2 linked regions of the Drosophila melanogaster genome follow. The protein of the gene in region 2 interacts with the protein of the main gene of each other region in a biochemical or structural test. Each region holds a gene or a part of one and is shown on either strand. Other genes may lie near its edges. The genes, in order: CalpB and rhea.

Region 1 (17,207 bases), 1.3 Mb from region 2:
AATCGGGTTCGCTCGCAGTTGCGCTTGACCCGCTTATTGGAACTGTTGGCCAGGTTCTGATTGTTGGCCTTTGTGCTCCTGGGCAAATGGTATTCGCGGCCAGTTAATTAGCTGCCCGGGATCGTCCCTCCCGCGGGACTTCATCAGGCGACAGGCTCGGCGCAAAAAAACGAGGCAGATTCTTCAAATTACTTTTGAAAAAAAAAGGGGCGACCAAGGAAGGGAATAACCTTCAGTTCCCAGCTTTATCGTCAGCAACTCACTTTTAGAAAAATATCAAAATTCTTCTTAATTCAATATTATTCAATAACTTTATTTAGAAAAAAAAAATATAAAACATTATGCTTAGAACTTAAAATGGTACTTTTAAGTACCAATTTATCTTTTATTCTATTATTTTATCCAAAACAGGAATTTTCCCACATTTATTGATAGTAAATAAATAAATAAATAGTTGCATAACTAAATCGAATAAACCGATGCATCCGAATTGTTTTTCGGTGCACTCATGCAGGACTGGCTTTGTGTCTGCTCACTTTTATTTCAAACGGCAATTGCATTGTGCCATTCCCAATCCGCTTATGGCCACTGCCACGCCCCCTGGACAACCACCTAGACCGCCCATACCGCCCACGGGAGCAAACAATGCACTCAGCAGCAAACAAGAGCAACAGCAACACCAGGCAGGTCCAGGAAAGTCCATCCCTTTTTGCCCTGGTAAGTGCTATGCGTATGATAAAAGCTTGTGTCATATTTTCATTTTTCACTTCACTTTTCCCTCGCTGCATTTGCTGTGGCGGATTTGGCATCTGGAAAGGAGTTAGTTCTCCAGCCAACCAGCTAGCATGGCTCGCTTAATGCCAAGCACTCGACGACGCTAACCCACCCGGTGCTTACTTATAAAAACCAAAGTACTTTCATTAGCTTACCGCCAACGGGACCTTCTCGCCAGCAAGGTCGGCATCAGATCCAGTTTACTTTGCCCACCATGGAGCACTGTGCGTCCACCAGCCGACTCCATCCACAAACTCAGTGAGCTCAGCATCCTTTTGGTTGGGGCTAAAGCTCCGGGAAAATCCGCAATGAAATGGGTCTAAAACGGGGAAAGTTTCCCCTGCGAAAAGCTCTCGATATGAAAATTCGGCCTTGGCATAGGAATTGACGCAGCATTCAACTTGTGTAATGAACTCAAATATTATTTAAAACTAATTAGTTGCAACACACACGGCATCGACATTGATGTGCTTGTGGATGGTTTCTATTAAACTAATTATTTTGCTCTTTATTCATACATATATATATATATTTTGTTTGCCTGTTCGTTGGAGTTTTGTTATGCTTTATACAGTTTGCCGTTAGCAATATTTTGCATTTTTACAAATTTATATTCGCTGGTAAATATAAACAGAAAATAGCTCTGGGGATAGTTACAATATAACTAGATGATCGTTTCGATAATTTTAATAATTTTTTTTCCCGGGTTAGATCTTGTCTTTTTCCTAAACGCTACGAGTATTGGTTGTCCGCTTGAAGTATAATACTTGGACAGAGCTTCTTCGCTTGTTTTGCTGGTTGATCAACTTTGAACTTAGTCGCTAAACACATTGTATGCCAAAACAATTGCGTTCGAGTTAACAATTCAAGTCAAAAGTGAACCGAGTGGGTACTTATAGCTTAGGTATACACTTAATTCGTACTAAGGCATGTTATATATGTTGGGCTCGAAACAACAACATCAACTGTTGTGTAATTCATAATATCGCAAGTGGTTTATACAAAGTCATTTTAGTTCAAATAAATAAAGAGGCAGCAGAAACTTAATTAATGCGAACAGTAACATTAAAGTAACGTAACGTAAACGTAAAGCCAACTGAACAGTATCCCGCCCTAGGTGATTGGGTTTCGGATTTGGGGTTTGTGGATCACGCTGAACTGCAGAATCCACACTACTCGGCATCCAGCGAGAAGCAAGGCAGTCCGGCCAGCGCCGGATGTGTGGATTGCTGGGAGGAGCGGTGTCGCTGCGGCATTGGCTGACCATTCTCGCGGTACGTCTTCAGTTTCGTCTCCATCGCCTAAAAAAAAAACACAAAACGAGAGCGGATTAAGCAACAGTCAGTGAACTATATGAAAAATTAACTATAGAAGGATTTGGGCACATCATATAATAAATAAATTAATGAAAATTTCATTTCGCAACGGTTTGCCCAGTGCAGAGTTTAGTCAGCAAGCCAAGTTATTATGCGCTTTCGAAACTGAATAAATCATAACGAACAAAAACAAAGAACATAAAATAAGGTACAAATAAATTTTGTATTTATTAACCAATGCAATTAATAAATGCAAGCGGAGGGCAACTAAAATTAGCCTTAAAGTTCCGAGCGCATTGTCAGAGCGGCAGGCTGGCGTCCGGCGAGTTTCGCATGCGCTCGGCGAAGCGCCTAAAAATGTTTGAGCCCGCACTGAGGCTTCCGGCGGAGCTGCAATCGCTGGTGGGCGTGGACTGGGCGCTACTGGTGGCCACTGAGCTGCTGCTGCCGCCAAAGGCGCGGCGAAAAAGACTTGCCTCGCTGGCCGATGGCGGCGGCGGCGGCTGCACACTTGCCGGGCGCTCACACATGCAGCGAAACTTTTCGCACTCGGGACATAGCAGTGCCTTGTCCCACTAAAAACATAGGGAAAAACACATAAGCCGATGGTGGGAGTGAAGGGTTCAAGGATCATATGTACATACGAAACAATGGATGAGGTAGGATGGCATGCTGGACTTATAGTTTGCGGAGGGACTTACGTTTAGTTTTCTTAACATGTCGGCCACAATGTTGAGCGCCGTTGTGCGGGAGCTGGGGTTCATGGAATTGCCATTGATTTGATTCTCGGGATCTGCAAGAGGAAGCACACGTACACAGCATGTTAGTCGAGAGGTTAGTTAGGTCAACTACTAGCTACAGACGCAAACACAAATCGTACAAAAATCGCCTACAAGAAATGTTGCAAACTCTTTCGTCACATTTGGGCTCTTAATTTTAATAATTTACAATACAATTACAAATTATGAGGAACTTAAGCGGGCTACATTTTTTGGTTAACAAGTAAAAAAGAAACAAATGGAAAAACAATACTAAATGCATGGCTTGAACGTTTGGCGATTCGTCTTGGACAGTTTTAGCGCGCGTCTGGTTTTCTTTAGGGAACTTAGTATCTTACTCTTAAGCGAATGCTGCTGGTTATATTCGTTTCTATTAACTAAACTGCCATTGAGGGCGTTGACGCTGACGCTGGTGGCTCTTGTGGCGACAGCATTGTCGTGTTTTACCAATTCGCCATTGGCAACAATACCATTTGGCAGCGAGGCGGACGAGTTCATCGAGCTGTTGACCGTATTTGTGTCGTTTGCCGTGGGAACGCTCGTTCCATTGACCACTGGGGTAAAGCGTGACTTGACGTTCAGCTCTTGTTTGAGATCTGCAATAGATTTGATGAATTAGTTTTAAAGTCTGTGCTGGACATCTGGTATAGATGCATCCACCTCTCGTCTCATCCATTAATCGCTGTAGTTTTTCCTGCAGCAATCCCTTTTCATCCACTTCCAGCTCCAGAAGGGCGTTCTTCTCGTAGGCCTGATCCAGCATCTTCTCGAAATTCTCTATGCTTTCGTTAAGTATGCGATGGGCACGTTCCAAATCGTCGTTTTTCTGCTCCAGCTGCCGCAGGTACACCTTCATGGTGTCGCGATCCTTCTTCACCGTTTCCAGCTGTTTCTCCATGTTTGACATATCGATGCCATGCGATTCCAACTTGAGCTGAGAATGAAATAGTTGTAAAGACTAATCTTGTCGGGAGCTCAAAGCCACATATACGCAAACTGAGTCTAAGAATTAAGCTCAGTTTGTGTAAATCGGGCTTAGCTTATAGCTACCTTGAGAGACTCGTTTTCCCGCTCAAACATTGTGAGTTTGGCTGTGAGATCTTTGATTATACTCTGCTTCTGGTCCAGAGTGGCGTCCATTTCTATTTCCATTTCGCGGGACTGCTCCACAAACTCGTCGTACTCCTGTTTCACGTCTGTCCACCTGAAAATTAAAAGTAAAACTAGGCTATATGGCTGATTTCGGAGACTGTAATAGGGATGGGCACTTACTCTTTGTGGTACTGCTTAGATCGTTCCTTCCAATATCTGCACTCATCTTCCACACTATTGAACATCGGGGGCGACTCCATTTCTGCAAATTTTCCTTAGCTGCTAACTCCTTTTTCTGGTTTTTGTGTACTAATCGGCGGTCAAAATGGGTTTGTAATTTCGTTCGTTCGAATTGATTTAACTTTTAATTTCTGAACAATGCTATGTACTACGGTTGGTCTATTACTGTTTGGGTTATTTATTCGTGTTTTTTGGCTGCTTTGTTTTTAATTGCTGTGATTAAAATGCCAAAACACAGTTGTTGTTCAAGTCGTAGTTTTACTTTTTTTTTGTTTTGTGTGTTGGGGGTGGTGAATAGACTAGAAGTCGGCGAAGAAAAGTGAAAAATCAATTAGGAACAGGTGTTTGCCCTGAATTTTGTAGTTACTGTTGCTGTTGTTCTTGTTCGATGCCCTAAAAGGGCAGTCGGTTTTGTCCATATCAAATGTAAATAAAATCAAATTAAACAAAACTCATTTTTGTGACGCAGCTGCTGCGGCAACAACAACGAAAACAACGAGGATGATGGTGATGAGCAGCAGCAACAACAACAACAACAAATAGCTACGACGAAGTTTCCCATACAACAACGCACTGCATGGAAATGAAATCATCGGTGATTTTTTCGTAGAATTCCAGTGTTTATACCTAGAATTTTATACAGCACGACTGTCCACATTTACTACTTACACTTTGCACTTAATTTTGCTACGTTTTGTTTGTTTTATTTACATAAAATCAGTGTAAATAGTTATGCTCGTAAAAATTTACCACTACTCCAAAAACGCACAAGCCAACCCTGGCTTGGGTTGCCAGTGTTGGCCAATAGATGGGCATTTGCCGTTTCCAGCCCTGGTCAACAGTTGTTATTTGAAATTTAATCAACATATAAAGTTTTACTCGGCTTTTTTTTGCGTTTACGTAGTTTTCTTATATATTCCAAATCATATTTCTCTAATGGACGTGCTGTGAACGTTATCGATTTGTTGGCCGGCGCATCGTTGCTGGTATCGTCCGAAATATGAAACTCAGAGTCGGAACTATCTTCAATTATTTGAGCTGAGCTTAGTGTTAAATCACGAGTGGAGCTGGGAGTTTGTGGCAGTGCTGCAACATTTTCGCCAACTACGCGCATGGGCAGCGCATGATAATGATATGATACATTTCGACAGGATTTGCGGCGTAGTTTGTGTTTTCTGCTTGTTTCAAAGTCACTTGAACTTGTGGACGTGTTATCGTCCCCACTATTTGAGCCTTCCCCGCTTACAGAATCCTTATTGTCAATTTTATTGGAGTTTTTCGTGATTTTAGACATATTTGTTTTAAGCCGCGCTGGATTGTTTTGGTTCCAAAAATGAACAATTTTTCGCTGATCTGTTTCTGGTTCTTTACCAAGTACAACGATGTGGCAACTCCCTGGCAGGGCCGCAACTGAAAAATCTCAAACGGGACATCGTTGCCAGATAGCTAGCCAGAGTGTGGCCAGATCGCAGCGACTGCAGTGCATTTTCAACAAAAATAAGGTAAAATATAGCACAATTATGGCCAGCAATTGTTAAACAATTAACGCAATTGCCAGTATTATAACCAAATGTCAACTGTGTGAGTGCGACAATCGAGCTCGCGTGGGCGTTGCACATGCAGCATCATCGAATTGATTAATTGCGGCGCATGCCGAAAAGTGAAAAAAGGGAGGATGTGTTTCAATCAACGCGAGTGAAAACCGCGACGAACGAAGAAAAAAAAAACCAAACTACTGCGGCAATCGTGAACAAAGAGCTCGTTGCGTCCGAAATTATGTGGCACAGCAACTAAACTATTGGATTTCCCACTCATTTTCCAGTTGAAATCAACGCGTTGCAGCAGCCCCCGCAGCAACAGCAACAACAAAACAAAGGCAACTGGAAGTGCAGCCTAACGGGAATTGCTCCAGCATATAGAGATTATAGTCCACACATATAAATATCCATTTATCGGAAGATAGTCCACAATGGCGGATCCAGAGCGACAAAGCCTGATCAACAAGGACGACGGCAATGGCTACAATTCCGTGGACGCCGTGGACGAGGGTGCCGATAATCCCGGCAGCAACTCATCGGTGGCCACAAACGAGGACGGTGCGTATCGTTACTGTAAAGCCGGGCATTCAACCCGCATCCAATCAGCCGGGCGGGCAACCCATTGGAAGCCCAACAAGTGTGCGGGCGCTCCACTTATCCGGATCCAACGCCGTGATTCCGAGTTGTCTGCTCGCCGTCTCATTTGGCATTTTCACACTTCACCCAACTGAGTCATAAATGCGTGTGGTTTGGTGCGGGGGGAGAGCAATGGGACTGCACAGAAAGAAAAACTGATAGGATATGTGGTGCCCAAATGCCATTTTAAATTATCTGCCATTTTTTTATTTTTTAATAGGGCCCAGTATTATTGGTATTACCAAAAATTTACAACCTAATATAAAATTTTCTTATTGGCCTAAATATCAAATGGGCCACGTACACCATAAAAAAAATGTAATTTTATCACGAAATTGTGAAGAGCTGCCAAAAATGTAAAGATCGATTGTAGTTAGTTACTCGACGCCGGTATCGGCAAAATTTTTGCACCGCCTTTGTTATTGTTTATGCTAGGACGCTCGTAATCAGCGCAAAAAGCGTTCCCCACAGCTGTTTAATCAGCATCGATTCGGAGGTGTTGCTATAGTGGTGGTTAAGCGGGGGCAGTCAATGAGTCCATGAGTCATCATGTCATTCGCTGCCTTATCGCAATACAGGGCGAAAATGAGGGTCTGCGATGAGCAGTGGTTCCATTGTTTACCAAGGAACCTGATCTTCAGCTCGGAAAAAGCTTGTCCATATCATTAATATATACAAGAGTTTAGTTACAAGGGCTTTACGACTTTCCATGTTCCCAATTAATTTGCATAGGTTATCTTTCTGTATTCCTTTCTTTTTGACATTATATATTTATTTAGCCAAAGTAATATGACTTTATTTGCAATTTATCCACTTCATATCAATTTTCCTAAAGAGTGTGTGCGATGTTACTCTTTGCGTTGTTTTCATTTAAAAACGTCTTTCACAAAGTTCGAACTTGTTTTGATCGAGAGACGAGAACCACAACTGCGGTCTAGTTGCACTAGTTTAATGCTTGTACGAGAAAGCTGCATTCATAACGCCAAAACATTGACCCATTTGGTTTATCGCAGCTTCCCAGAGCCACACACTGCACACTATCAGAAAATGCAGTTCTCACTCCCTCCATGAGCCAATCACCGCCAGATGAGCAGTGTGGTTGAGCGAACTCTGCTGGCGAGATGTATTTATTCTACACCAAAGGTCTCGCCTTTGAAGGGCATGGGTCTTAACAATATTATAAGTAGTTAATAATACTTTGCAATGGAATTTTAGGCAATGGAGCACCGACCGCAGTGCCTTGCATTGGACCCGATGAGCTGCCGCCGCCGTATCAGCAGAGTACCAACACCGGAGGCGTCCCGATGGTCACCTGTCGGGTATGTCAACACATGATTGACATCACCACGAAGCGGGAGCAGCACGTGGTCAAGTGCACCCACTGCAATGAGGCTACTGTGAGTAATTCTAAGCAGATTCTTTGAATCCAATTGTAACTTAATACGCTTTTGGCTATCAACAGCCCATTCGGAACGCTCCAGCGGGCAAGAAGTATGTTCGCTGCCCATGCAACTGTTTGTTAATCTGCAAGAGCTCGTCGCAGCGAATCGCTTGTCCAAGGCCCAATTGCAAGAGGATCATCAACCTGGCCCCAAGTCCCGTCACCCCGCCCGTGCCAACCATGCCGGGCATGTGCCGCGTCACTTGTGGCCACTGTTCGGACACGTTTTTGGTGAGTTATTAATCCAAATCACAGCAGCAGGAGTCTTGTAACGCTTGCTCTTACAGTTCAACACGTATCACAACGCCTTGGCCCGGTGTCCACACTGCAGGAAGGTCTCATCGGTGGGCTCGCGCTTTGCCAACAGCCGCGCCGTGATGTTCGCCATCGTGGCGCTGGTGTTCCTCATCACAGGCATCGCTGTAACTATCGGCACATACTCGATTGCTTCGGTAAGCCAAATCAATTTAAAATCAAGCTGAAGTATGTGATTTTCTAAACCCATATGTGTGTTTCCTTTTGCATTTTTCCAGGATCATGGTGGCATGTACTTCCTCTACGTGGCGCTGTTCGTGATTTCGGGTTGCATGCTGGCCAGGTCCGCCTACTATTTCCGCCTTAAAGTGAGCGCCATCGATGGGCCAATGTAAAGCTAAAGCACGGGGCCAGTAGCAAGGAAGAAAGTGCATTGTTTTATTTTTATATATATATATTATTCATATATATCATTCCTTTTGATATTAAATTTAAAACTAAACACAAGCAGCCAATTTGCAGACGGAACATATGAACATTTCTCCAGCAGTTCAGCTACATACAAAAATTCTTCGTTTCGAGCAAAACTAATAGCAAACCTAGCTAAATTTACGAAAGAAGGTCTCCCCGTTGAAGAGCATAATTAGGATATTAAGGCCGTAACTAACTAAACACTATACTAAAAGCGAATATTTCAAGGGTCGCCGTGCAGCTACCATTCAAGTGCTAAAAGTAAAAAAGGAAAACCCCGATCTGTGTTGGCAGTCATTAGTTATTAGACCAGCGACCGATCAATCCACAGTGCATCTCATTTTTAGAATCGTCAGGATCCATTTTAAAGATTGTACAGTTTCGTTGTTTAAGTGTCCGATTTGTTATCCGTTCGTGCCTGTCCTGCAAGATATTTCGGTATTCATACATTACGTATTCGTTGATACGCTTTTGAGTTTTGTGTTGCCTAAAATTTAACCAATGCACTTTTTCTCAGTTCTCGCCAAAGCGGAGGAAAGCGTTTTGTTGCCTGGCGTTAGAAACAATTTGAAGGGTATGCTAATAGTGCTAATGAAGGTACATACACATACGCGCATATACAATACCATAAATACATAATTATAATGCAAATAAACAAAGCAACATTTCTTGAACAACAGAGAACAAGCAAACGCTCATGCAGATATAAAGAAAATTAATTTAGACAGCAACTGCTAAACTGCGAAATTGCATATATATATATGATTAAAAGGAACGGTTTACTTTTGAAATATATATATATATATACAACAACATTTATATTTAGTACATTATAAATTAGCATACATACACTGTAAATAAAAAGAAATAAAACCACAAGCACCACCAACTTTTTGGCGACAAAATGACAAGGCTATGAAAGTAGAATAGAGTGCCTTGAACTTGACATCGGACATCGGCTGGGATTTTCGATTTCGATTACATTTTTAAAGTTTTTAAGTTCCTTGGCCAAGATGTCATCATTGGCTCCTTGCTTTACTGTGGGCTCTATTGTGCGCTGCAAGACTTGTTTTGGCGACAACATTTCGGGCGAGGTAAAACTAAATATTATTTATTATTTTTATGATTATGTAATGCTTTCAATTTCCCAGGTTGTGGCCTTCGATCTGGGCGTGAAAATGCTGATAATGAAGTGTCCATCAAGCAATGGCGGTGGCGACGAACAGACCACTTGCAATGTGACCATTGTGAACCTATCCCTGTGCATGGACATTGAAATAGTAAAGGAAGCAATTCCGCCGGCTGAAGTTCAACAGCCAGAACCGATTGATTTGCCCATGGTAGAAGCACTCTCTATATAGATATTTAAAAGAAACCCCATTCAACCATTTGCAATTGCAGATCCGAGAACGATACCGATACGCAACCGAACATCGTACGCTCTCCTGCCGGAGCTATCATCCCAATGCCTCGCCCTTTGGTCAAGCTCTGTTCAGACTGTTAGTCAAGCGATTCGGTGATCCCGCTATCATCTGGCAGAACAAAGGCGACCAAGTGGCGATCAATATACTCCGTCAGGTGGTCATCGATGCGCCGTATGCCACGGAGAATATCCGATACCTCGATTGGAATCCCAAGCTGGCGATATGCGTCCAAGAGGTCGTTCAAAACTTTTGCAGTAAACAATTCTAGAACGATGGCCCGTGCCCATGGCAACAGTTGTCTAGATAGCATCCGATTCTCTGTACGTTTTGTTTATCAACAAAACAATTCAAAATACACATACATATAGCCATGACACCCACACAGAATACTGCTCTTTATCTGCCAGGGGAAACCATTCTCGTTTGTACAAATTCGATTTAATACACTACACCACAACACCCAACACACATAATACACGATGGCCGATGATGAAGATAAACCAAAGAAGCACACGCTGGACAGCCTGTTCTTGGTGTATTCCAACTTCCAGGTATGATGAATGACCCGGTTAATTGAAGAGTAATTTTCATCTAAATGATGCCAGGTCATACCCACCGACATCGAGAACGAGTACTTTGACAGCATACTCCTCTCGCAGTTGGACGCCTGGCTAGAGCAGGCCAAGCTCATGCCCAATCCCATAACTCGAACTCAGACCGGTTTAATATACATGCGATACAAGTGAGTAACTACATCAAATCTACATATCATTCTTAATCAAATACATGTTTCAGGAAATGGCGTTTGGAGTACGAAGACTTTCTCGAGGTCCTAAATAACTTGGCATCCGATAACAATCTGGCTATAGATGAAATGAAGCAAATAATGATCGATGCTGGCGTCCCGAATGGTGCTGATGTAGTTATAGTCGTCAAGTAGATTGAATCATCACTGCATTTTATTTATATGCATACAAAAAGTCGGACAACAAATTATTAATAGTAACAATTGCATACAAGAGTAACTTTGATTAATTCACAAAAATTATAGTAAAATATAAAAGCATCCAACAAAAAGAGCCTCTAAACCCGATTGGTTAATTTCAGTTAGTTAAACACTTATTTTGACATAGAGGGTGCCTAATTAAGGTATGTTTTGAGATTACTGATCTGAAAACTAAATACAAAATATATGCGTATTACATTTTTTGATGTGATTCAATAAATTGACTGATATTCTGAAATTCTGCTTAAGCTTATAAATATTCGATGAGTTGGTTGGCTTGTTCGCTTCGCGTTACTTTCCTGATAATAATAACAACGTTTGTTTGGGTAACAGAGTTTGGCTGGACTTATTTCTAGCACCTGGGCAAATATGTGGACTGCTCGGAGCTAACGATGTTACAAAAATACATGCTTATTCATTCCGTATATCTAATAAATATTGTCGATGCGTTCTAATGGCTTTCCGAGCGTCTCATAGCGATTGTAAGGTAATAATGCACTGTTTGTACTAGTAAATTTCCGGCTCTTGACGAGGTGCATGGAGTGGATTTGCTATTGATGCTTGCTCTTAGTCATCCCTCCAGTTGCGCAGCATGGTAAAAAAAAATCTATAGCGTTAATTTTTTGAATTGTGTATGCGGGATTTATACTGTTTACCGTGCATACTCGTAGCAACCTCGTGCCGTTCCAAGGCCACTCCAATTTCGCCACATGATTTGTATTTCCGGATATGGTCATATAGATAAGATTCTCTTGTTGGCTCAGTGAGTGTATCTCTTTGCATCGCCGGATCGCATTGTCATGGATTTGTGTGTTGGCTTTCTCATTTGAATGCATGAATAATATGATGCACAGGTAGATTAAGTATACGTCGCACTTAGGATTAGATTAGTAGCAATTGCAAGTAATTTAAGAGTAAATTGTTCGCTCCAGCCAGTCGTCCAAGTTGAAGAAGGCCGTGTCCGAATTGTCCGTGTCCCGTTCGCGGAACATCTCGATGAATGTTCTAACCTTGATGGCACACATCAGGAAATCGTCGAATGGTATTTGTCCCTCCCGCGATCCGTAGCGATGGGCCAGGGCGTTCAGGAGCCGGTTGTTCAGATGATAGCCAGCCGAATTGAGTGCTCCGCGCAGATGGAATCCATCAATACTGCCAGTGCGACGGGTGTCATATAGCTTAAAGACCGCCCGCCACTTGGCAATATCGGTAAGCAGAGCTTCGAACTCCTCGAAACCAAGGCGACCGGAGCGATCCTTGTCCAGCATGGCTACCATCGAACGCACGGCATCCTTGGAGAAGCCATCACTGCCCACCATAACATCGCGCATAGAGTGGTCCAGGATGCGCTTCAGCTCCTGCCAGTCGACTTCCTCATCGCTGCCAGCCACGCTGTCGAACAGACGACGCAGTGCAATGCGCTGCGGATCATCCTCCTCCTTTGGAGTCGGTGGCGGCAGAGACGGAGCAATGCGATCGTCGGTCTCGCCAAAGCCAACCTCATCGTCGTTCTCCTCCATATTGTTCCTTGTCTCCGAGAAGACGCGAATAATGAACTCGCCCTCCTCATTCGGATCGAAGGTCGATGGAACAATCAGGTAGTGGCCAGGTGGCAACTTAAACCGGGCGCAAACCTCGCGCGTGTTGATAAAATGTGGTGAACGCGCCACCGATGCTCGGTACTTGAAGAAGTTGAGTCCCTGGGGCTTCACTTGCATGTCACGGTCTGTGAGATGATATATAGCAAATCCGATGGTCAGACAGTCGATGCCCACGTTGCGCTTGCTACGTCGATTCTTCTGCATAAGGGCCACAATAGCCGTGCATTTGCCATCGTCATCCTCGTCGTCGGGATCCTCCAGCGAAATGATGTACTGCGGATTGTGCCAGAAGGTTTCCAGGAAGTTTCTGCAACCGCCGGCTGTTACTCCCGATGTCCACTCACCCTCGAACATGGACATTTCCCACTTGCGGCGAGAGCTGTGCTGCTGATCCTCAGTCAGCGAGTCGGGCGACAAATTACATATCTCCACGCGATCAAAATGATTGAGGAAGTCCTGGAAGGACATCCAGAACTCGCCGTCCCTATCGAAATTCAGGCCAATCTCCTCCTTCGTGTGCTCCGGAATAAATCGCCACTCAGGCGAGCTGTCGCTCCACGGACCGCTCCATTCGGCATCGTTGCCCCATGGATTACGCATACGTATCATGGGCAATTTTCCCTGCCGATTGGGCGTCGATATGTCCATGAGGCACACCTTGGTAATGGAGTATGCATGACCGCGAATCAAACCTTGTGGCGTCTCCGCTTCCAGAACATGTGGATCCGGCTCCAAAGAGCAGCCCATCATCGAGCCACGCTCGGCGGCCTTCATCATGATGCTGAATAGATTTGGGGGCGCCTCCTTGATGTCGTACCACTCGGTGACGCCGCCAGTAAAGTCCTCCATGGCCTCGCACGTGGTGCCGCCTAATCGTGAAGAGATGGTTACAAAAAAATTATTAGAATGAAAGTATTTAAATTTCAGATCTATTCAACAAAGTCCTAACCGCGATAAGTGCCACATTAGTTTATTTTTTTTTAAGAACATATGATAAGCATAGTGTATTTTTAGAAACTAAAATAAATTTTGGTATGCCACAAATTTTCTACGCTTCTACAAATACTGATAATATTCCATTTCCTACCCTTGAGTGCTTCATAAGATCCATGCAGCTTTGCATAAGCCTTCTCCAGCAAGGCACTCCAAAACTCGTTCTTCTCCGTGGAGTGCATGTAGATTAGCTCGCCATTATAGGTGGGCAGACGGTCATCAATGACCACTTCCACCCACTTGCCATACTGCCAAAACTTGAAGTGAAAGATGCCAGCGTAGTTCTCCTGGAAGTCCTGATCCGGCGGGATTACCCTAAAGAAGAGCGTCGAGTCCTGCGTCAAATTGGCAGCTGCAGCCAGTAGCCAGCTGTGAAGGAATATTTAATTTTTGAATTTATGTCCACTTATGTGTTATTAATGCGTTTGGTCTTACCAATCGCCAAGTTCTCCTTGTTGCACATCGAATCGTGAATAGCCTTCCACGAAGAACTGCGGATCATCGGCGATGTCACCGGGACGCAGCCACTCGTAGTAGCGATCCGGTCGTCGTGAGTACATCAGCGAAGCGTTGGTGGCCGGAAAATCGGGATCCTCGAACATGGTTCCATTAGCCAGGCAACTGTCGCGCAGCGATTGGAAATCGCCTTTGCTTACGCTGTTCTGCCGGGCACTAGTGGCCTTGCGACCCATCCAAAACATGTTCTGGTTCTCGGGCACCTTCACGCTGGTGAAGCTTAGCTCGGCCACGCCGACGGAAGGTTCCTCCTCCTGGGTTGGAGCACTTTCCGGTGGCGGTGCCGTGGGATATGGTAGTGCTGGGAATCCGATATTGTGCTGGGGAGCCGGACTCGTTGGCATGGGAGCGTACGGCATTGGCATACCGGGCAAACCGGGCATGGCAGATGGATATGGTGCGAGCGGAGCCGCCGGATAGGGTAGATTGGGCTGCGGCATGCCAGTTGGATAGGGCATTCCGGTTGGATAGGGCGCCATAGGCGCAGTGGGGTACGGCAGCGATGATACGTTGGCTGATGGCAGACTAGGATAAAGTCCTGATCCAGGGTATGGCGTGGCACTGGGGTATGGAGCCGGCGCTGAGGGGGCTTCTGGCACGGGCATTCCCATGCCCATGGTGGGTCCCGCATACGAAGCATTCTGGGCATGACTCGTCTGCTTTACCACATATGGCATTCCGCCCACGGATTCGGATGATGGATAGGGCAACGAGGGGTAGAGACCCGCTTTGGGTTTGGGAGCTCCTCCTCCTTCGTTCCCGCCGCTGACTTCATTCTTGCTGTAGCCCAAGGCCGCCAAATTGACAAGGCCAATGCCACTGGCATGATAATTCTTGGGGTAATTATCAATGCCGTACATTTTTACTGGTTTTTCGCTGTGGTTTTCCTCGTCCACGCACTGGTTTTTCCCTAAATCTAACTACTAATGGCGTTGCAAATCGGCTAAAACTACGGAACTGGATGATATCCAGATGTTTATTAACTCGCTGCCGTGGTAAAACTGCTGACTCGCTGAGAATCGTACGCTTTAAATGGGAGAAGTATCCAAATTTAACTTTCTCGGTAAATGATTCATAATCTTTAACCCTTGCGCGTTCTGTATAAATTTTCTTTGAATATGCATGTGCAATCAAAAAAGCTTTGAAAATGCAGAATGAAATATTTATAACATTCTAATTCATTTATTAACTCAGAAAATATATTATAGAAATATTAATTTTGTTTTATTAAACAGTTTCAATAAAAACAAATATAGCTTTTAATAAATTTTAGTTTTCTAAAAAATGTATTTTTATGGTATTAGAGAAGTAGTTATGTAGTCTATATTGTTTACGAACGTAAACTATTAAATTAGTGTCAATATTGAAGACCCAACACGTTTCGAGGGTTAAAAAAAGGCGAGCAGGGCTACATTGTCGCGCAGAGTTGCCATCTTTATCCGAATGAATTTGGTATTTTTTTAGCCCTGTCGGCATTTTCAATAGAAGAAGAAGAAGTTAAACAGTGCTGTGTTTTTTTTTATAACAAACGCAAATTAGTTAATAAATTCTGGCGCAGAACCGGCATTTGAGCGATGGAAACGCAACCTGAGGTGCCCGAGGTGCCGCTGCGACCGTTTAAATTATAAGTATTCACCCTGCTCTGTTAGGAATCCAAAAATAATGAGTTCTCCCTTTTGAATAGCACGGCGCATCAGGTTGTGAGCCTCACGGGCATCAGTTTCGAGCGGAGGAGCATAATCGTAAGGATATAACTTAGATACACTTAAATATGTACAAAACATAACACACCTCCTCCCTTTAGGGCGTGGTCGAGCTGACCATTGTGCCGAACAGCGAGAATCTGCGCCTGATACGCCTGAATGCCAAGCAGCTGAGAATCTACAGCGTCGTTTTGAACGATGTCTGCCAGGCGGATTTCACGTACTTCGATCCCTTCCAGAACATCTGCTACAAGGAGCACAAGAGCCGCGCGCTGGAGGTCTACTCCAAGCATCATCTGACCGCCGCCCAGTACACCGATCCCGATGTGAACAACGGCGAACTGCTCATCCAGGTTCCGCCCGAGGGCTACTCTATGATCCAGGAGGGTCAGGGTCTGCGCATCCGCATCGAGTTCTCGTTGGAGAATCCCAAATGCGGCGTACATTTTGTCATACCACCCGCTTCAACGGACGAGGAGACACAGATGAACAGCTCGCATATGTTCACCAATTGCTATGAAAACTCGTCGAGATTGTGGTTTCCCTGCGTGGACAGTTTCGCCGATCCCTGCACCTGGCGGCTGGAGTTCACTGTCGACAAAAATATGACCGCCGTTTCGTGTGGAGAACTTCTAGAAGTCATTATGACCCCAGATCTGCGAAAGAAAACCTTCCACTATTCGGTTAGCACACCAGTATGTGCACCAAATATTGCGCTGGCTGTGGGTCAGTTTGAGATCTACGTGGATCCGCACATGCATGAAGTGACCCACTTTTGTCTGCCCGGATTGTTGCCGCTGTTAAAAAATACGGTTCGCTATTTGCACGAGGCATTTGAATTTTACGAGGAGACCTTATCTACGCGCTACCCATTCAGTTGCTACAAACAAGTGTTTGTAGACGAATTGGACACGGACATAAGTGCCTATGCCACTATGAGCATTGCTTCGGTGAATCTGCTGCACTCCATAGCTATCATCGATCAGACCTATATATCTCGAACCTTTATGTCGCGCGCTGTGGCTGAGCAATTCTTCGGCTGCTTTATTACATCCCATCATTGGTCGGACACCTGGCTGGCCAAGGGCATTGCGGAGTACCTGTGTGGATTGTATTCCAGGAAGTGCTTCGGCAACAACGAGTACCGTGCTTGGGTGCAATCTGAACTGGCGCGTGTCGTTCGCTACGAGGAGCAGTATGGCGGCATTATTCTCGATTGCAGTCAGCCGCCAGCTCCTTTGCCTGTTTCGGGCACAAATCAATCGGCGGCTTCCAGCAAACAGCAGGAGATTGTCCACTATTTTCCCATCAAGAGTTTGCACACCGTATCGCCGAAGTATGTGGAGGCGATGCGAAGGAAAGCGCATTTCGTAATCCGGATGCTGGAGAACCGCATCGGGCAGGAGCTGCTGATTCAGGTGT
Region 2 (15,379 bases):
AGGAGACCACGCTGTCGCTGGTCTCACGTAATGCTGGACAGGCTCTGCCTCCGCCCGCCGCCGGCGGAGTGCCACAGCAACAGCTGCCCGTTGGCGCAGTCAGCAGGAGCGATGTAGATCTTCTGCTCACTAATCAGAACATGCTGCTCAGTTCCATCCGCGAGATTCGTCAACTGGTTGGCGATATCAATGTGCGCACTGATAACATTCAAACGAATCAGAAGCATGCGCCCACAGCACAAATCCAATCCACCGGCTATGATGTACAAACGCTCATCGCCGAGATGCGCGATGGCATGAATCAGGTCAAGCAGGGCATCACCCACGTGGGCCAAAGGTGAGGAATACGCTCAAAGTCTATTTTAAGTTTCCTAAAGCTGTTGTCATCGAAGTTATTCTGAGCTCGAATTAATTTTAACCTTTTCAGCCATATTTATACTAATTTTTCGTATTCCACATTATGAAATTAGAGTTTTAACAAGTTTGATTCAGAGGAACATGTTTATGAGTTTTAGACTATTATACTTTATTGTCATCTTTTAAGTACCTCCTTGATACTCAATATGCATTCCCTTACCTTGCAGATTGGCAGCGCCACAGGGAGCAGCGCAGGTGGCCAATTGTCCCACGGGCAATTGCGTTGGAGTCACATTGTTCCTAAGCGTAACTGTTGTGCAACTGCTGCTAGTCTTCATCTACAACGTCTTCAAGTGAGTTCATGGAATCTTTAAGCGTGGATTCGAAACTAAACAATCTAACTTATTATTCCTTGCAGAAACCGCAGCGAAGCACAGGCGAAAAAGTTCTATTAGGCGAATTCGCGACTTATTGGGATCGTAACGAATAACAAACACACAAGCATACACCCACAGAAATCACGAGGAAACAGATTCGCACACCTGACTAGGCAGCAACTAAATTTAGTTAAAATGAAAGATTTAAGACTTCAGCGTAGCATGCTCTACCATTATGTGTAACTGTTTGTTTTTTAAATAGAAGTCTGTTTAAGAAGTCAGGTCACGAATACAAACTCAAGTCGTTACTTAATCAAAGCAAGAACAAGAAATTTGATCAATGATGTATGCCTCATGACAATGCCACGCAATACAAAACGAAGAAACCGTCGAAGAAGCCACAAGACAAACTTCCCTTAGTAATAGCCAACAGAAGATGTTTCATATTTGTTTTAGCAAGTCAAGTCGAAAGTTTCACTCCATTCTCAACTCTGCATATCATGTGTGCAGGCATTTATAAGAAGCACAAGAAAATCTATCTAAAAAAAAATAAAAATAAAAATGGCAAAATCTATATAAGTACGAAAATTCCGTAAACGTAGCAAATTTTTGTAATATCTTGTATACTTTAGAGTTGAGATGAATCCATCAGGCTCGGCTCTTGAAACTGAATTGGCAACATAAATCTTTTTTCCCATTTTCATGCGCCAAATGGTCAACAAAGCTAGTTAGCCAGCATTTTTGTTATTACGCCAGAAAGTGAATTAATTTAATAATTATGATGAACTGTCTCACTAAGTTTTTGTTCGGTTCGCATCGTCACTGGTGCGATGTAAGGAAGTTTTCTACTGAATAATCTTAATATACATACTGATAAATTATAAAACAATTGAAGTGAAGTGTGTTTTTATATATGTTGTCCATTCCAGTCTCGATAGAAATGTTTAAAGTGAAAATAAAAATCAATTTATAGAAAAATCTATCTCCAACTGTTCAACTTGATAGTTTTAATCTGCGTCCTCATTTTATTTTTATACTTTTCCGAATGCGATATTATTTTCGCTGATGTCGACAGAGGAAAAAGTTTATTTCTTGAAAAGTCCTCGCAAGCATAAACTAGAATCCCTGTCAGTTGCCCATCCCCATCTTCATCCTCCCATCGATGACAATGCGGCAAAAATGGCGCCACTTGGTCGCCAGAATGCGTGGGGCTGGGGAACGAGTTGGGTTCTGGTGAACTTTGGCCATAAAATGTAACTGCCAATGGTGGCATTGTGGGCAGGTCCTCTGTGGTCTGAGTACCCATTCCATCGCATTGGGGAAAATCCCAGGAAAAGCACAGCCAAAGATAGATGGACAGAAGCCAACGGCAGTCGCGGCCCATGCAATAAATTCTCTACGGGATCGGGGAATGGGTTACACAGTTCTGGTGTGCGGTTGGATGGTAGCTTCGCCTATGTGCTCCGTTTCCTATATACTTTCACTGCGCAGGAGCAGGACCAGTTTCCAAGTGGTTTGGAAGGGGGACTTGAACGGCTATTAACTTTTTATAACAGCCAATCGGCATGAGGCTTGCAAACAGAGAAAATGGTTTCGTGCCGTTGGGTTTTTCCAGCAGGGATGGGATGTGTGCACTGCAACAAAACTGACTTCATAGTATACGATTTACACACGGCAAACTAAACTAAATCATGATCTAGTACATGTTTTTTAAGTTCGTACTTATAGTTATAGAAACCCCTTAAAAGTTGCCGTAACAAATAACATTGATATCAATATTAAGGTAAATTATTTGATATGATGTTACTCAATGTAGTGCAAATGTACTACTCAAAAAATACATTACTGTGCAAATTAAAGTTTTAAAATAGAAAAACCTTAAGGAAAAGTCTTATTGAACCAAAAGTATGAAAAGGTGCCGACATGATACAATATATGCTATGAAGTATTCTGACTCTTATTACTTTGGAAAATACACAAACAATTGTTTATATTATAATATTTCTTGTAATGATGTATTAGAGCTATACTAAACAATTTTAAGACCCTTAAATTTACTAAATAGTTTCCAATCCATTTAACCATCCAGATCAGTTTGATTTCCCAAATCAAATGGGATGAGTAGCCGTGAAAGGATGTCAAAACTTTAATAATCCATATTGCATATTTACACATCTGTGGAATTTCAGAGCTCACCACAATCCATTAGTAAATGAAATTCATAAATCCCCTCCCGAATGTCCTTATTGCCTCCCTCTTCCAATCAGCAAACCGACAAACGAGGACGACAGTTTGCAACATTTGCCAAACATTTGAGAAAAAAAAGGGGACACATAAAATCAAAGTCAAAGTAGTTACGATGTAACGGGGTGGATCTGTCTGGCTATATCGGTGCGATATAAGTAAGTATCCTTCGATGTTGACAAATCCCCAGACCATGTCCTGCATATCCTGCCAAAGGAGGAGCAGCGGCAGCAGCGTGACAAATGTTGCGCAAACAAATGGATTACATTGCTACCACAGAGCAAGCTACCCAAATGCCTCGCAATGAATCATAAATTTCCATAACTGTCATCCGATCTGGGCAGATTTCTTTTCCTCATCGGTCGGCGAAGAAAGCAAATTGGTCGTCACCGGATTACGAACTTTGTAGCTAATCCGTAAATTGAAATTCGCTACGTAATTTGCTAATGACCCGAACGAGGATTAAAGGACCAAGTTGAAATTGATACAGACTCATCAAATTGTTATAGGAAATTTTAGAAAGAAAGTTTTCTAGCACTTGTATATATTTGTATATATCGTAATATATTACAGATGGATTTTCCATGTACATTTATCAAAGTAAATTGGCATTAACTGCTATTTCCCAAACTATAAATAGTGTTCGATCTATTCCAAGCGAATTTAAAGATTTATGAGTTGAAAGAATTGAATTTTTCGTTTCGCTTGATTTCTTTATCAATGATTCCTGCAGCAATTTAAAATCCTTCCATCTGCATTCCAACGAATTTAGAGCAGGAACACTCCCATACAAAGTGCAAGGACAATGGGAGAACTGCTCCTCGGCTGCTGGATGTTTGTGCAACTGCTTTAGTTTCCCGTGGCCATTAAGTCGCGGGTCGGCGGATGACAAAGGATAGTCCATTAGACACAAGTCACAATTCAATTGAAGCGAGCTGGCAAATGGGTGTCCCCCATTGAAACCCTCATCCTTCTGGGCTGCATTCTGCACTTTGAGTCCTGCGCCCTTTGTGATTCATTTTTGCAAGCGAAACCAGAACAAAAGTCGGGCCTGGATAATATTTTGCGCTTTTTGGTATGACGAATCCACATGTCGCACACGAATCGAATGGGCAAACTCGCCTCCTGGTCGAGGGGAAAGGCCCGGAAAAATCCGGGAAAACCCCCTGCTCCTGTCATCCGTTTAGCGGGCAATCAAGCGTGTAGGGCAATTCAATAAGCCGGCAGTGGTTGGGGTGCCACAAGCTTGGAGAACTTTATCAACACCCATGTCGGCATTAGTTTTGTTTACAAACTTTCCGTTGCCTTTTTGACAGTTTGCCCGGGGTGGACGCCATACCATTTGTGCACCCCCCACCCACTCCAAACATTTTCCCAGTCCACACTTTTCCGGGGTGGATTTTCGCTTGGATTTTTATTTATGAGCACTTAAATCGAAGCGCAAACTGAAATTGCACAGTGCACATCTACATAAATATGCAATTGCGGGATTGTGAGAAAGTAGTATCGCTGATAAATGATGAAAAAATTATAAATAAATACGGAATACATCGCTGCCCCTCCTCCTTGTTGTTATATGTTTCTTTTTTTTTTCCTTTTGCGATTCATCGCATCCCTCATGTAGATGTCACCCCAACCAGGTCCTTAGATGACAGCTCCCGATAATGGTGACATCAATTTGAAACTCAATTGAGCCTGTTCCGAGCTCCTTGATAAATGCTGTGCTATCAGCGCCGTTTATCGTCCTCAGCTTTTTGACTGGGTGCGACAAGTCAGCGAATTGGAAACGGAATTGAACAGCCAACCCCCACAAGGTGAGGGGTTCCATCGCCCTGGTATCCTCTGGCTCATCCATGCTCATCCTTGCCCAATCCTTGATCTCTGGGGCGTTGCGAGCAGTTTACATGTTTAATGCCTGCTTAATTGCTGCCTATGTCTCAGCGGGGCAGATCCTTTAGCCAGGATAAGCGGCCGTCCTGTGAATAGTGACATGTCAGCGGTCCCAGAAACTAAAATGAAATGCTCATTTCGGGAAAATTAAGTGAAGACTATTAAGATAAAATGCATTTCGAAATGGATGCTATACGTTAGAGTTTTGGTAAGGAAATGCACGATTTTATAGAGCGAATAAATTTGTTTTGAATATAAATATAGAAAAAATTTAATAAAGATACGGAAATATAGGTGTTCCTAGTAGTTCTTAGGAGGCATTAATCAAAAAATTGATCCAAGTTATTGAAAAAAATTTAATAAAACTTTCAATTACACGCTGCAAATAAACATTTTAATGCCTTGAAATGTCAATAAATGCCTTAAACGAATGGAACTTTTAACAAGCTCACTGCACCACCTCCTCCACTTGACACCCCTGACTCCAAGCCAAATTCCAAATCCTCGGATACGAACTCAACCTCAACATGGCCATTAGGCCAAGTCGGTGCATGGCCTCGCCAGGATAAATAGACTGTTGAGTCATTAAACAATTTACGCAGCCATAAATTTACGCAATTTACTTAGTGCGCAAACACACACATCCCGCAGGATGCCGAATGTCCTGGACAGGGCAATAAAAAATACCCCTCCAGCCTGGGCTGGAATCGAGAAACATTAACACATCTGGCCAGATACAAAGTGCTTGAGCTTGGGCTTGGGTTTGGGTTTGGGTTTGGGCTTGTGTCGTCCGCCTGAGCGATTAACTTTTTGCATCCTTCACACTTGGCTGGGCGAGTTAACCCAGCGTCATCATCTTCATCATCTCCTATCCTGGAGCAAGGACATTGCCCACGCGCCGCTTGTTTGCATTTTTATTGCCACACGCTGCGGGGTTGCAGGATGTCGATTTTCAGCACGGCCGCCACGAAATTTTAATGAAATCGTCATCAATTAAAATTCGCTCTCTTCCATGTCCATGCCCCCAGACGCCAGTGACAAAGGCAATGACAATGACACGGCACAACACTCCAGTTTCACATTTGACTGCACTCAGAGAAATGAATTCTCTAAAAGAAACACAAATAGCTATAATGGATTGCCAAGGTCTTCCAAAGTCTTAAAGTATCTAAGATTCAAACAGATTACATTTCATAGATCAGTGAAAGATGCTTGCATCAGTTTTAACATAACTACCATAAGTTCTTATACTAAACTCTTTCTAAAGTCTCAATGATTTCTTCCTGTGCACTCCTTTGGGCTTGTTCCATCTTTTTACGACCGAGACGTCCATCCGGGCACTTCCACGAGCTTAGTCTCGGATTGCTTATAGGATTCTCCGGCGCATAACTCGCCATACTCGTGCCTGGGATCGTTCTCAGCTATAAAAATAATTTGTGGCCAAAAACTCCCCTTCCATTCAGCTTCAATCCCGATCTCGAATTCATCCAAAAGGGGTTTGGGTCGTACGGCTGCCGTCAATTTGTAGTCGTTTGCTTGTTTTTCCAGCCTCGCCCTAATGGCTTTTCATAAATTTTTATTGTTCTCAATATAAGTTTTTCATAGCTGCCCGCATGCAAATGTCCTTCGAGTGCTTCGAATTTGTGGGGAATTTGTCGGGCAATATGAAAACGAGTTTACGCCTTTCCAGAATGCTAAACAAATTGGGGAGAAAGGACGGTTCACTTTATAATTGTGAAGCAAATCGAATTTAAAGGTTTCGAAACGAATTTCCCAACAATTGTAAGCGGAATCTACACTAAATAATACATTTATTTCTAAATTAATGGGTATTAAGAAATGGATATGAATTTATTTCCGTTTTTTGTTTAGCAATAATTTCTAAACATTTTGTAAGTGTCTGGTACTAGTTTCTAAAAACAGAGAAGCAATTACAAATTTCAAGCAATTAGTTCTTTTGAAAACACTCAAACTTCTTGTCATCATAAATTTCTACGTTTTTCAAGTTTTTCTAGTTTTTGTTGTACTTAAAATATGAAAAAAACTTATTATATTTCAACCAATTTATTCGTCTCCAAAGAGCTCAGATTCATCCGCAACTAGAAACCAGAAATGCATTCGGAAAACTACAAACTCAATTAGATGGCCATAAATCTCCGGCAGAGTCAAGAACCCTCTAAATTTTGGTTGATAAAATGCCGAAATTATCACGGCCCAAGCACATGATATATGGGCATTCGGCTTGGCCGGTTTAACCCATTAGCCAGCCGGAAGATCGCTCAATTAGCGTTGCTCCTCGCTGCTGGTCAGTCCCAAGTCCCAAATCCCAAGTGGGTCACTCGAGGAAAGGATTTGCGAATCGGGTTTTTATTTGCCATTACCGAAAACCAAACTCCCTGGCCTCTTTGTTGGGCCAACAAAGTGACATAAATCTTGGCGAGCGCTGGCACAAACTCAACCGGAACTAAAGCAATGACGCAGCAGGAGCACCAGGACACATGTCGATGCGTTCTGCTCATCCATTTCGCTTGCTCCTCCTTGGCCAGCAGTCATAACGGGCGTGTGTGTAAAGCGAGTGTGCCAGTTCCGAGATTTATCGGCCCGAGGGGTGAGTCCATATCTGCACATCCTGCATCTTCTATCTGCGTATCGGTTTGGCAGGCCTCGAATCGCGGGACATCAATGCTCAATGCCCAATGCCCAATGCCGGATGCCCAGAACGACAGGCGTTCGATTGAAATTAATTGAATTTGCGCCCAAGCCACGAACTTGACTTCGTTTCAAGAAATTTCTCAAGCGCGCAGGGGCGGGCATTGTGCACAGAGAGAAATTTTTATATGAAGAATATAGTGTTTTATGTATGAAGGTTTTCTGAAAGTTCGCTTTAAAATGTTTCTCTTGAAATTTCCAATAATTAAATTCAAGTTTGATAGTAGCAAAAGGAATGTTTATCCCCCCCTTTGATAATTTTGCAACTTGTCTTTAATTACTTCTCATTTTTTAAGAGTGTTGCGAAAGAAGGACCGTGGACGCTTGTTTCCTGTTTATGCTCGAGATGTTTTGCAGCATAAATTACGCGTACACATATACCCATGTATTCGCGCATATGATATCCTTGACAAGTCGAGAAAGGAGAAGGGAAAAAAACAGGAACATTAAATTTATTTTTATTTCGCTGCCTTATAGGGAAAGCAACCCCAGTGAAAGGGCCCCCAAAGACGCGCGCTATGTGCGGTCCGTTGACTTTGGCGAAGTCATGAATTCGCTTGCTTATTTTTATGATTTTGGCTAGTTTTTGTTTTTCGGCCCTTAGATTGCTCGTCTATTTTCTGAGGGTTGTAAGTTGCACACTTGGTTGCCCTCCAATCGCCGAAATCAAAACGGAAACGATGATCGTCTCGGAGAAAATTCAGGAAAGCCAGACAAATTTATCAAGTTTGTGTGGGGGTGCGCTTTGGTGGGGCTTGTAACCTTCATTAATCATGTGGATATGTTGTTTTTATAGGATTCGACTACAAATCGCTTAATCTTTAAGCCTTGTTTTAGTTAGACTGCATTAGTTGGGGGTTTTATTTTAAATTTGGCGCTCATGCCTTTACATTTGGGGTGACCCTGCACTTAACAGTCTGCCATTGGCATAACAGCTCTGTGTGCAGACTACTTTTTGCTTGCCGTAGTAATTTCAAATATTATAGAAGTATAGGCAAACTATGATTAGAACTTGTAAATTTATATATTTTTTATTTATTTTGTAATTATGTGACCCAAACGCTAATTGGTTCCGATAGCCGCAATGACTTATCGATAGCTGCTTGACGCACGGTCACACTGTCTTAACTACGGAATATTTTGTAAAGTGTTAGTTTTATTTACTCGATTTTAGCTCTCTTTAAGCCCTTTTCGCCGTGTGTTTCTGTAAGTTAACCAATGTTTAAAACCCCAAGTGCACAAATCAGTTTAAAGCCCCTTTCCCGCGGCATGAAAACGCGTCAAACAAAGCCAGTGGAGATTCAGCTGCGGCCTGGCCAACAAGAACTCATTTCGATTCGTTCGCACATTTTGTTGTTGCCGCCTAGTGGGTGCTCCTCCGGGGTGGAGTCATCATCGTTATCCCTACCCCCAGTTGTTGGCGCCGACTGTCCGGATTTTGGTCTCTCCCACATGTCCCGCACATTTGTTTTTGTCGGTCACGCGAATTCCGCCCTTTTAACCAAGTTTCCAGTGTAACAACAAAAGGGGGCAAAAAAAGGGAACGCCCGCATTTGTATGTTTGTTCGTTTGTTTGCTTGTAAGCATCGTCTACGTTTTATGCTAATTAAAGTGCAACATTTTTTTTTTAGCCAAAGCTGCGAATATAATTCAATTAACGAGAGTCCAACTGCGACTGCCTCGCATTATCAGCACAGCAGTTGGTTTGGTTTGACGGCTTTATCTGAGCAGCTGGATGAGCGTGCAGAATAGCATGGTGTATATGTATATGGGGTACATTCCATACGCGATAAGATAACCCCCGGTTGCTGAAGAAGAAGAAGAAGAAGCGCCGGATTCGCGGGAGTTGGCAATTGCCTTCAATTCTCAAGTTAATTGTGGAGTTAGCTGTGCAACTGCAACCCTCAAAGATCCGAGACGAGGACCCACAAGACTCGTGCCTACATCCCGCTGTCAGTGGCATAGAGATTCACTCTTCCCGGGATCAGGCCCTCAATTGCGTCAATAATTGGACCTAATTGAAGTCAACAGGCTATTATTTTGCCTCCTTTGTTTATGCACGTTTTTGGAAACTGTTGTATTCAATTATTTCAACTGAGATTGAAATTTCTCATGTATTCTGTTTGTGTAAGAGTTTTAAATGCAGATACTTTCCTAAAAAGAGACTGGTCCTGTTTAGATTATAGTATCTATAGAGATTTGAACCCATAAAGATTACGTTAATATTGTTGATTGTTTAGAAGCATTCCTTTTGGGGAATAATCTAGTCCGTCAAAGAGTCATTGATATTATAGATAAGAAATGTTTGGGTCATATAACATCATCAAAACAAAACGTCATTACCAAAACATTTCAAAATACTAATACTTACAACGCTCCAATCGCTTGACTAGCTTAGCCCTTGAAAAGCAGGAGTAATGTCCATTTCTTAGAAAACCCCATGTGACTAAGCGCACTTCCTCTTCCAATTTCTCGCTTCCTCTCTGCTCACTTTTGAGAAGAAAGAAAGAGCCATAAGTTGGGCAACAAAAGATTAGTCACCACTGGCACGGGTCCATCACCTTGTGGCCACTACCTTCTCCTCCGCTGCCCCTTCATTTCACCGCCCTCCCTCTGGCTGGCACCTTTTGTTTTGTTTACATTTGCAGACGGCGATCAGGAGAATCGGAAGAATCAGAGAGGAGAGAAGCCTAGCAGCAGGTGGCTCTCTTCGCGGCTCTCCCATCTGTTGCTCATGCTGCTCACACTGCCCATGGAACCGAGCGAACCACTCGCTTCTATGGCCCGCTCATTCGAGTTTCGTCCGTCGTCGGTGCCAATTCGTTCGATTGTGCCGCGCCCGATATCGCTATTGAAATATATATATATATACATATATCTACCCATATATATGTATAGGCGATTCGTACATATATGAATATCGCATATCGTGCATATCGTTCAAGTTCAAATATCAAAAGAGTTTCCAGCCCAATTGTGGGAATTAAAGAAGGTATATACATGACGAGAGTGCGCGGTCATAAGTGTGTGACATATGGTGTTATTTTTATCCATTCCGAGTGGAATATGTGCCACAAAAAGGCAGTTCCATTGTGTAACTAAGTTCAAACGCCAAATGCACGTTGCGCCTGCGCGATGCGCGCCAAAAACCCATCGGAAAACCCTTTTCCCCATTTCGGATGTCGAGCGTTTTAGAAAACAAGCTGAAAATTACCTCATCGCGCTGCCGGCGCCAGCGTCGACGTCTGCCGTTTGATGTCTGCCCCTGACTACGCTGGTCCACAGAGAAAAAATTTGGATTATAATAGATCACTAGGCTATATCTTATGACGTGCTAGCGAAATCTTAGGACTAGTCAGATTAGCATAATTCGCTTTTCACGATGATGCTTTTTTTTGTATTTGTATATGGATATAAACCTGAGCAAAGGGTTCCATTCAACAACAATGTATAGTATTTGATTATGTAATCAAGAAGTACTGCATTATTTATATTACTGTTTATCAAAAAAATACTATATTATTCTCTGTGTACACAAACATATAGATATTTCATTCTATATTTCTTGCTTGCCTAGCAGCTGGCGGCTGGCCTCCCACTCCCCTCCTCCACAAATGCGATTTATCTTTAAGATACAACGTACGCTAAGATTTGTTTGGTATCTGTACGTAGATTTATTGTTTTTTTTTGTTACGCTCTTTCCTCGCTCTTCTCTTCACCGATTTAAATATCTCGCGTCTTTCGATGTTTTGTCATAATTTCTCTGGCTTTTGTCCTGTTTTCTACACATTTTTTGTCCGATTGTTTGGCAAATTTCGCCGTCGCTCCATTTTGTGGGCGTATTTTGTATATTATTTATCCATTATCTCGAAATGTCAATGCGCTCGTTTAAAGCTGTTGTTATTTTCAGTCTCTCTCACTTTTTCGAGCGTTTCGACCTTATTAGCAGTGGGCTTCGGTTTTGGAATGCCCGCCACATAAACACGCTTCGGAAACATAAAGAAATCGAGATCGGAGCTCATTTTCACTCCATGCTCCACTGTGTGGGCAGTGCATCGGCTCCACATCTACCAAATATTTCGGACGTAGACGTGGGGACGCTCAGCATCCGCCAAGATATTAGTACACTTCACAAATATTAATGCTCAAAGATCTAAATATCATTATCAAAACATTAAAATATGAGTTTCTTATTTGGAGAATGCATGTTACTTTGTTCTTCTGGAATTCTGTTTTCTACTGACCCATTGTCGTTCATAATAAATATTTCAACACTTTCATTTTCTCCTGATAAGATCTTTACTACATGTTAAAACACTCGAAGGAAAATAAGTATGAGAGTGTTCCAATTTCACCATCTTATCTGCAATTCGATTTCCTCCTCAAAACTCAACTCATGATATATGTACCTATTTCTAGGCAAGCTGATATCAGTAATGTCTTTATACTTCATTGTTTGTATATTTGTATCCGTACAATCCAATGATAATAATCCACATGTTTGGAATGTTGCTTAGACCTCGATTTACTATATATTTATAAGCTATTTATAGCAATTATCCAAAAAGTATTACCCGGAATTTGTTAAGTGATCCGCGTGCACATTCGGCTCGGCTGGAGCGGCAATTCATTGAGCAAACTGATTTGTAACTCGGTCACTGGTGGAAACACTGGTGGGCAGCAGCTTGTGTTGCCCATTTTGGGGCACGTTTCGATTGCCAGACAAGTGACTGCATTTTCCACTTGTATCTGTTGGATAGTTTTTTTTTTCATGGTTTTGCATACTTTTCGTTCGCCGTTTTATTAATTGAGCTGTATTCATTAATTCTTTGCTTTGCTTTGGGGCGAGACGAGTGCAAAGGTCTTCCACTGATCGCTGGCCATACAACTTTCGAATACGAGATTGATGTCCCGGGGATGTTTACGCAGCGAGGATTACTTCATAATTTCGGGACTAATTGAATTGGTTTTTTTGGGCAAGCGTGAGATGGGAACTTTTTGATTGCTTGGTAATGTGAAATGACACTAAAATAGGGCGTGAAAGTTAAAAGTGTAAAAATCGCTTATGAACCGTTCAATATTTATTCACCCATGTTACCTCTGTTATATATTTCGATTTTTCGCCCATTTGTTCGATTTACTTTTCAAGCTCAATTAAAATAAATTAAGCCACCCGTTCAACTCGTTACAATATCGAAAAAAAAACTACTGGCGGCAACCAGAAGAACAAAAGCAAAACGACCAGCGTAATAACAATTAAAAAATAAAAATAACAACTGGTGTGTGTGCTCTATTTTCTTAACGCCTCAGCATTTTCAATGGTTTTGTATTGCACTTGAGATACATGAATGCATACATGCTGAATATACATTGGCTATATATAGCTACACTGGGCAAACAAACCATCTACAATATTATTGATCTTGTGTAGAAGTCCTAAGATAACACTCAGATATGTTGTAACTTAGGTTCTGTACCAAAGTCGTATATCTATTAAGATATGAAGAACATACTTTTCTGCTTAGCGGTCATGTTTTCCCTACAACTATGCAACTTGATAAACGTTTTTGAGAAAATCTTAAATATTGTTCTCTCTGTACAACAGATACAGCTACTTGGGGCTGATGTGAGTTTATGTGGGCTTAATGCTGCCGCACACATGTTTCGCTTTTTCACCGGACCTGAATCAAACAACCGAAATGCTAAATAAACAAAATGGGCCGCAGAACTCAGAACTCGTAGATGATTCCATATTGAGTTCGATTGGCCGTAGCGTATTGTGGAATAGTTTATTGTTTTGGAATGTTTCTTAATAACGCGGAACTCGAGTGGCGGAGGTGGAAGCACCGACCAGAAACGACCGATCTGAATCGGAATCTCGAACATTTCCATCTCGACTCAACTCGATTTCACTCGATTCGCATTCCGTTTTCGCACGCACACTCATCGTTGAGTCATTAAGAATCGCTGGCAGGAAGGAGTAGAGATGGAGCCCCTTGTTTACTATTAATGCTGATAAAGAATATGCATTCGCTTCTAAAAATAAACGGCAAGTATTCATTCGCATTTGTTGTCTGGCCATCGGCGGCATAACGTTTATTGTCACCATGTTTGTATGCAAACAAACGCATGCGAAGATTTATGCAAAAATTTTATTTTTTTTCCCCATCGACCACTGGACTACCGAACTTGGCGAGAGATGTGTACGTATCATTTTATTTGTTTCGTTTATCGCCGATGGCAGTGGGGATTGGATTGGGTTGGGCTCCACCGATCGGGTTGCCGCCTCCTATATCTCACGGTGGGTGTCGTAAATCCCTGGCCGATTACGTCAGTAATTCATTGGCGCTTTTTTTTTTTTGCCGGAGAGCCTGAGAGTGAACACGCATTTGGGCACTTCATCAATCTGTCAGTCCATCAGCGAAACGATTCGATGCGGTCAGTCGATAAGTCCGCCTTGGCATTCCCATTGCAATGGGTTGCGGTTTGTCACACACCCCCTGGATTCCCGCCGTGTGGAATTGTAATGAAAAATTGATGGAAATCTTGAGGATTCCGATTTTATAGCCCCATAGCGCCAAGTGAAATTTCTCTAACCGAAACCATTAGACGAACAAATTAGCATACATATTTTGATTGATTGGTTTTTAATTAGTGACAAAAAAGGTTCTATGCTTATGAGAAATATCTGAAACACATGAGAAATGTGTATAAGCCATTTTAACATTTAAATTTGAACAAAACATAAAGAACTAAATTTTATATCATCATGGACTTTTAAAGCGATATTTATGATCCGTGACTCAGTTGCGTTGAATCTAGAAAACTTTCTTGTGGACCTTGGCCGTCATTAAGGAAGTTATAGTGTAGTTAACCCCACATTTTATGCATTCCTTTCCCGATTTGATTATCTCTCCTCTGGATGGCTCCCCTTTTCCGGCGATTGTCGTGTCCATCGGCAGTTATCGCTAGGCTTGGCCTTGCCTCGCAATTTATTTCCATCTGGCTGTGGGGATTGGGTGGCTCTTTTAATCAATGGAACTGCTTTGTGTGTCGCCAGTGGCAGTGAGTGAGTGTGAAAATAAAAATTCATTTCTTATTCGGCTTATTCGAATGCATTGGCATTCGAGTGTTTGAGTGCTGCCCCTCAAAGTCAACTCAGCTGCAGCAGCTTCTCGCCCCTCTCGCAGGGATGCCCCTGACTATTTGTTATATCGCTATATATAGAAATACGCACATATAACTTTGTATATATGGTGTATGGCACTGTCGCTTTTGGCACTCACTTGTGCGAAAATCCATTGGAGCCCGACTGGCGGGAGCCTAATTTTTTGCCGTCTCCGATTGACGATGTCGGCTGTGGATGAGGGGCAGCTTACGGGTGGAATGGGAGAAGTAGGTGGCCACCGGAGAGGGTGACTCAAAGAAAAGAAGGGGGGCTCCTTCTTAAGTGGGTAGGCAGTGGCATGGGAATGGAACTTGGCATCCAATCATAAAATTGCTTGGCAATGTCTTTCGTATGTAGATGGTGTATGAGGCACGTTGAGAACAGGAAGGAAGGAAGCTAAGGCAATCCATGTTGGCAGGAAATGTGAAATTTGTTTGGGGGGAATATACACTGAAGTCGGTAAAAGTGCTGACTAAATATGTATATTCACGAGCAGTATCTAAAGTTAAAATCAGTTTGTATAAGATTATGTAAAGTAATATAAGAAGTCTTCTCAACTCTGATTTTTTTTTTAAATCACAGCATATACATTTTCAATTTCTTTATCTTAACAAAGGAGTATACATACATGTAT

What was found.
Region 1: of the proteins of rhea (region 2) and CalpB, one has a biochemical effect on the other in vitro, tested with the Drosophila melanogaster proteins (one study listed by BioGRID).

What each region holds. Positions count from the first base shown.
Region 1 is NT_037436.4:9,887,019-9,904,225, reverse strand, and holds CalpB (Calpain-B), read right to left. Parts: upstream 15,465-17,207; 5' UTR 14,943-15,464; coding exon 14,002-14,942; intron 13,936-14,001; coding exon 13,661-13,935; intron 13,443-13,660; coding exon 11,881-13,442; 3' UTR 10,907-11,880; downstream 1-10,906. Other genes in the region: nudE, read right to left, coding at 2,390-2,665, 2,792-2,883, 3,208-3,465, 3,530-3,803, 3,920-4,073, 4,142-4,221; CG46387 (uncharacterized protein), read right to left, coding at 5,058-5,495; CG6707 (uncharacterized protein), read left to right, coding at 6,171-6,297, 7,591-7,772, 7,838-8,047, 8,104-8,268, 8,350-8,466; Hez (hezron), read left to right, coding at 9,556-9,636, 9,694-9,882, 9,944-10,234; CG6709 (uncharacterized protein), read left to right, coding at 10,446-10,517, 10,572-10,708, 10,762-10,906; Taf2 (TBP-associated factor 2), read left to right, coding at 15,657-15,706, 15,770-15,824, 15,887-17,207. UniProt on the Drosophila melanogaster protein: Calcium-regulated non-lysosomal thiol-protease.
Region 2 is NT_037436.4:8,536,307-8,551,685, forward strand, and holds the start of rhea (rhea), read left to right. Parts: upstream 1-8,694; 5' UTR 8,695-8,783; intron 8,784-10,368; exon of another isoform or gene 10,369-10,569; intron 10,570-15,379. Other genes in the region: ergic53, read left to right, coding at 1-337, 585-710, 776-812.